Linked DNA regions of Ovis aries. The protein of the gene in region 2 interacts with the protein of the main gene of each other region in a pairwise test. Links are inferred from orthologs where the notes say so. Each region holds a gene or a part of one and is shown on either strand. Other genes may lie near its edges.

What was found.
Region 1: the proteins of FNDC11 (region 2) and GPBP1 interact in binary tests that used the Homo sapiens proteins (3 or more experiments, as listed by UniProt). The link is inferred for Ovis aries from reciprocal best matches to the Homo sapiens genes FNDC11 and GPBP1.

What each region holds. Positions count from the first base shown.
Region 1 is NC_056069.1:22,216,960-22,220,783, forward strand, and holds part of GPBP1 (vasculin), read right to left. Parts: intron 2,582-3,824; coding exon 2,414-2,581; intron 1,959-2,413; coding exon 1,771-1,958; intron 1-1,770. UniProt on the Homo sapiens protein: Functions as a GC-rich promoter-specific transactivating transcription factor.
Region 2 is NC_056066.1:53,817,569-53,820,789, forward strand, and holds FNDC11 (fibronectin type III domain-containing protein 11), read right to left. Parts: upstream 1,817-3,221; coding exon 815-1,816; 3' UTR 699-814; downstream 1-698.

The DNA.
Region 1 (3,824 bases), on a different chromosome or scaffold from region 2:
GACAGCAAGGAGATCAAGCCAGTCAATTTTAAAGGAAATCAACCCTGAATACTCATTGGAAGAACTACTGCTAAGCTCCAATACTTTGGCTACCTGATGGGAACAGCCAACTCGTTAGAAAAGACCCTGCCTGATGCTGGGAGAGAGTGAAAGCAGGAGAAGGGGGCACCAGACGATGACATGGTTGGATGGCATCACTGACTCAATGCACGTGAGTTTGAGCAAACTCCAGGAGACAGTGAAGGACAGGGAAGCCTAGAGTGCTGCAGTCCATGGGGTTGCGAACTCGGACATAACCTGGCAACTGAACAACAAAACACTATACCCACATTTTACAGATGAAGAACCATGATCATGTAAGTAAAAAATTTTGCCTACTTGATAGCAAAGCAGCAGAATTCTGGTTTTCTGCCTCCCCAGTTAATATACACTGCACCAAACTCTGTGGCCTCTGGACTAAACCCACAATTAGGAACAGATCATAACAGTGATCTGTACTTTGCCTTTTCATTAGCATTTCTTCTCATTCTCTTTCAAACTATTATCAAATCACTCTAATATCACTTTCACAATTACCACCCTCTGCCAAATATTTTCAACAGCTTCCCAATTCCTAAAAGAGCAAACTCCATAACACACAATGACCACAACTTCAAATTCCTTACATTAGAAAAAGCACAACACTAGAAGTGGAAGACCTGAGTCACAAATCCTACTCAAAAACCAGGTATAAGACAGAGCTCCTTCTTCATCTAAAGCATTCAGATAGTTTGACTAGATCTCTAAGACCCTGCCTTTGCAATGTATCTCTAACTCCATTTAGGACTCCACACTATTGTCAAGTTATGCTATACATCAGCCCTAAAACAAACATGCGTGTATTCTATTCTAAACAGCTTTTCATACCCCCATTTCAAAATGACTACCCAGTACCCTTGCTTGTATTGTCTCACCCTTTAAGATTTAATTTAGGTCCCAATTAAAACTTTCTAACTGGTACTCAAGCCATAATGCTATCTAACCCCAAATTCCTCTGAATTTCTCTGGAACTCATTTCTATTAATTCATTTGGTGCTTAGACAAGGTAACAATTACCTCTCTGATGTTGAAACTATCCTCAATATTGTGATGGTATACTGAAACTTGATAACTAGTAATATATATGCCAAATTATTTCATTTTAAATTTTAATTAACACATCTGAACAAAAAAAGTCATCCTTGAGAACTGTATCACTGATACCTAACTTTTTAAATCAAGCTACATGAGTACTTATGTATGTATGTTAACTTAAGAAAGTTTACAGGGAGGTCCCTAGTGGTCTAGTGGTTAGGATTAATGCTTTCACTATTGTGGGCTGGGTTCGCTCCCAGGTCGGGAAACAGATCCCACAGCCCTCCCCCCGCTCCCCGCCGAAGAGATTTACAGAAAATCTGAAGCCATGGAAAATAAATAGCACTCAATTTTCAGAGAAACACATGCTACAATATGGATGTACCTTGAAAGTATTACTGAAAGTAGACTGGTGGTTACCCAGGAAAGAGAGTAACAATGAGTAACTGTAAATGACCATGGGGTTTCTTTATGGAGTGAAAGAAATGTTCTGACTGTGGTGACAGCTACACAACTTCAAATACACCCAAAATTAACGAACCGAGTAAAAAAATTAAGAGTGTATATAAATTATATCTCGATGAAGTTGTTAAAAAAGAAATCAATTTTCCATGTAAAATCAAAATTTTGGGTAGAGAAAAAAGTAAAAACACCGACCTGTGTTCTGCTTCAAGTGAACTAGAAAGAACATCAGTCTGTGGGAAGGTTGAAGACCGAATGATCTGTTGGGAAATTACTGAGGCATTGCCATTCTCTTGTGGAATTTCATTTTCATCGAAGTTTCGGTTTATATCCCTTTCTTGGTGAGTACTGTTGCTGTTATGCAAATTAAATGAGTCGTCATCCTGATTTTTGAAGAGTTAAAAAAAAAATTAGAGAATAGTTATTAAAAAAGGAAACTTTAATAGATCCTGGTTAGATCTTCATGGATAAAACATAACTGTGATGTTTATATAATCATGTAGAAAACAGTTTCATAAGATGTAAAACTAAGTTGTGAAGGGAACTTACTAACTTCAAGTATTCACATCTATTCAACCAAAAATTAAAAGGACAAAGGCAGGCAAGATGGGGAAAACCAAAAGTACAAATATGAACAGGAATCTTTTAAATTTCATTTTTGAACAGCAACTAGAGTAAGAAAACTCTATTCAGAAAGGAATTCATTATTTATGCAAATAGCTAACTAGCCTTGCTTTCAGAAATATGAAAATATTCGAAGATTCTAAATAATATCTGTCCAACTATTCCAATGACATGCTAATGTCAAGCCCAAGAATTACACTACACGTTCAATTACCTTTTCTGAGCCCACATGGCTTTCATCTTCATGTTCCTCTTCCACTCTGTCCCTTTTCAATGCTTTCAAAAACTCACTCTTTTTATCTGTGCGCATTCGTGTCAGTTTGGTTAGACGAGGCTGCTGATTAAGTTTGTCAACAGGTGAAGAAGAATTTGAGCGATTACACTAGGAAAAAAATTTAGAATGTTGATAAATACATAGAGAACTAATATCAACATAAAGTTCACAACTATAATGACTTTCTATTTCACTTTCTTCACAATATACAACAAAATTGATTTTAAATTCTATTTTCTACTATCATTATTTTTAATCTATCTCACTGAATGATCTTTCTTATCCGAGAAACAAAGTCTGATAATACTAAGATCTATGATTCTAAATTAGGAGTTTTAAATATTATTTTATAAAATGGATCCTGAAATTGTTTAAATATTTATATATAGATATTTTTTAAAGCAGTTTTTAAAACTGTGTTCCACAGAGTTCGAAGGTTCTATGAACTAGTATAATTATTTATGCACAGGTACACTAAGGGTTTATCATATAGAATTTCACAAGGGAAGTTTTGTGGAAGAGCAGAGGAGCGTGGTAAAGGGACATGTACTGGAGTCTTTTTATTTTTCATATATTGAGAGTGGACTACAGAAGGAAAAAGAATGTTGGAATTCTGTGTCACAGGAATTTTAAGCCTTGGGAATAAATCAAAATGCTTAACTTAGCAATAACATCTGCAGACTATAATGAATTGAAGCCACAATTAACCAGCTGGGAATGCTGGTCCTTCTAGCACAGCTCTAAAATCCTATGACTGAGAACTAGTCAATGAGGGGGTTATAATATTCCAATATAGTACCCAGAACAATCTCAGTTATTATAATATAGTCACAAGTGTCTTTTGTCCCTGAACTGGTCAGGGAAGTCCCTCATCTAGAAGTTTCACAAAGCTGGCCAAATGAGAAAGAAATGTGTAAGCTATTAAGTATTCAAAGTCAGTAACCATGCATCTTTCTCTCTTCTTCCTCCTCTCCGTCCTGAGTGTTAATACTAAGAAAATGTCCATCATCCCCAAAAGAAGAGTATGTAAATCCTGATTTTTTAGTCAAGGTTTAATCCTATATCATAGCATAACTTTATGACAAAAGTAAAAACATCTGTTTTCATAATTCTTTTCTTAAAAATTACTCTTTCTGGGGCTTCCCTGGTGGCTCAGTGGTAAAGAACCTGCCTGCCAAACAGGAGACATGGGTTCAATCTCTGGGTCAGTAAGATCCCCTGGAAGAGGAAATGGCAAACCACTCCAATATCTTTGCCAGGGAAATCCCATGGACAGAGGAGTCTGGTGGGCTACATCTATGGGGTCACAAAGAGTTGGACACAGACTTAGCAGGAGACACAGGTTCCACCC
Region 2 (3,221 bases):
CAGCCATAGCCAGGGTACACTATGCCGTCCCTCCTGGACCTGAGCAGGGCCAAGTTGCCAGAGCAGGTAGCCGCCGGCATCCTCCTCACCTTCCCGAAGTGGGTATGTGCACAGGCAGCAAGCAAGCTACTGGCCGAGCTGACCACTGGCAGGCAAGGGCAGACTCTCTCAGTTGCCCACTGGCCTGGATCTGGGCAGGGTACCCTGCCAGTCTCCCTTGTTAGGATCCTCATCCACCTAAGGATGGGGCTGCAGATGAACTTAAGCTTCTTTTGGGGAGAATACAATACTTTTCATTAAAAATAAAATAAAATGTGCTCTTGTTGGGCCCCCTGGCCTTGACAGGTGAGATAGTAATGGGGCCATGACTGCCTCCAATGAGGTTTGGGCAGGACTTGGGGGTATCCACCTGCCTTGGGAAACCCCAGCCTAGGAGGCAAGAAAGGTGGCCAGAGCCTGTTCCCAGGTCACATGGCTGCTCACTGTGATAGGAAGGAGCTGGGGGCACATGGGAGGGGCTGGGGCGGAGGTGCCAGAGCCTTGGAGCCGTTCTCACCGCTGATGGTGGCAGCCATGTGCCAGGCAAGCTGAGGCTTCTTGTTACAGGGGTCAGTGTCCTGCAAAGGCCAGCCTGGGGCTCCCCGCCGGAAAAGAGAGCAGGAGCTGGAGGGGGCGGGACTCATGGGTGGGCTGTGCTGAGTCAGGAAAAAACACTCATGTGGCTGCCACCACCTCTAAAACGTAAGTAAGTCTGTTTCTTTAATTGTGTATGTGTGTTTATACTCCTCTTTATTAGTGGATAAATACTAGAAAATCATCTCTCGGAAGGTGCGATCAGGGACGGGCCCAGCTTGCCCAGCCTACTGGGGGCGGGCCCTTCAGGGGTCCCTGGTCGGGTGTGCAGGGTGAGGCTGTCCCTCCAGGGCTCATACACCAGCGTGTAGCTCTCCGCCCTCTTGACAGTGAACTTGTAGGCACGGTTGGGCAACAGGTTTCGGATGTCAAAGGCGCAGGCGGCCACGGGGATAATGCCACACTGCATGCACTCCTGCTGTGTCCGTGGGTCCAGCAGCTTGTAGCGCAGCTCAAACTGCTCTGGCACAGCCTGCTGGATGGTGACAAACCAGCGCAGGCTGACCCAGTCCTGGTGGGCCACCGACTCCTTGCGGTCAAACATGACGGGCATCTTGGTGCTCAGCATGAGCCGGATGTGGGGAATCTTGGTGGCGCCAATGTCAGACACTAGGCGGTGCTTGACGTGTAGGCGCCCTGGCACCATCATGGCCAGGAAGCTGTCCATGACAGCCGACAGGTCCGCCAGGCGCTGCTCCACGAGCCCCCAGCCTGCCAGGAAGGGCCGAGGGTCTGGCGACTCGAGCAGGGCATCCAGCTCGGAGCGGCCATGGTCCAGCTGCTCCAGCAGGTCCCCAAGCAGCAGGAGCTGGATCTTGGTCTGGGCAGCGCCCACCTTCTTCATGCGCTGGAACTTCCATGGGTCAATGAGCTGGAACATGGTGGTGGGCAGCACCAGTGGGTTCTGGTCGCCCAGAGCCAGGTGCTTGGGGAGGATCTCAATGTAGTAGGAGCACTTCTTCAGGAGCTCCATGCGGGCATGGTGGCGCTTGAGCAAGTGGGGGCTCAGGTCTGAGGTCAGGAACTCTTGCAGAGTGTTGCGGCGCTCCACATAGGTTCGCCAAGCCTCGGGCTCCAGCAGCTGCCCATCCTCGGCCTCCTCTACCTCCTCCTGTTCCAGGAAGGACTGGGGACTGTCCAGCTTCATTTTGTCCAGGCCCAGGCCTGTCACCTGGAAGTTCATGGTCTAGGAGCAGGGGGCGGAGGGCAGGACGTGAACGGAATGCTCAGACTGGCCTCTGCCGCCCACCCGGGGCCCACTCAGGGCAGTGTTTGTGTGTGACTTCAGTCCCACTGGCCCCCATGCTGGGCTCTCTGGCCTCTGGGGGTGGGGGTGGGAGCGGGAAGAGGCTTGTGAGGAGGGCTCATCTCTCTGGACAGAGGCTGCTTGGAGGGCCAGGTGGGCAGGCTGCAGATCTGGATAAAAGTGGACATTGTAGGGCCGACACTCTACTGATGGTCTTTTGTGATGACACAGGGAAGGGCTGAGACAGGGGCACTGGGCCTGTGCTTTGGAAAATCCAGCCACTGCCTAGCTGTGTAGCCCCATCTGGAATGGGGTTTACACTGCTCCTCTGGAGCTGTCGACAGGATTCAGAGTGATCCTGTCTGAGCATCACCAGACCCCAGCTGGGGACCCCACTGTCCTGCAGACTGTCCACACCCCACTGCAGGTGCAGGGCAGAGGCCCAGGGCCAGCCCAGAAGGCAAGGTGGCCTCAGCTCTGAGGAGTAATCATGCCTGTTCCTCATTACGGAGCCTCCTGAGCCCATAAGAAAAGCCCCTGATCGGTGCCCCTGCTCACAGATGGGGTGCCTGAGCCCAGAACACTTGGTAGTTTGCTCTCAATCCAGGCTTTGAGCCCAGTGTAGACCCCAGAGTCTATCTCCTTCTGCACCCCTCCTCCACCTAGGTTCCCCTCTGTAGGAGGGTCCAGAGCGCCCCAGAGCTGGGCATAGCTGTGCTCCCAAGCCTGGCAGGTCCTGACCACAAGGCTGGGGCTCCTTGGAGAAAGGGGGTCAGCATTCCTGGCTGCTGCCCCAGGTCCCAGCCACCCCCAAGGACAGTGAGACAGACCCCGTGGTTTCACTGGGAGGTCTGAGGTTGTCCAGCACCCAGAAAGTTGGATGAGTTACAAACGGGAGCTGAGAGGCTGAGTGAGAGGCCCAAGGGGCAGAGTGAGGTTGGGACCCAAGTCGGTCTCCCTCCCCAGATGCCAGGACCTTCCTGGGACAGAGGCGGCAGACCCAACACTGGGCACAGCAGCACCAGTGTCTGGGCTGAGGTGCAACAGACCAGGACTAGGATTGCTGGCCTGCATCCTTCAGTAGCCCAGTAGCCCAAGGTTGGGACAGATTCAAGCCGCCTCTGGAGGGAGCTTTAGCTCCAGGTAGGACTACAGGTCAGAGGTGCTTCCAGACGGCCCCAGTTTCTCCACGGAAAAAGCCAGGAGAGGTTGCTGTTAAACTCAGGAAAAGAAGCTGCCTGCCCTGGCCCGCTACCCAGACCTACACCCTCCTCCGCCTCCGGGACCCCCTACAGTCCCCTGGCCCTGGGCCCACTTCCCCTCAACCGACCCCCACCAGACC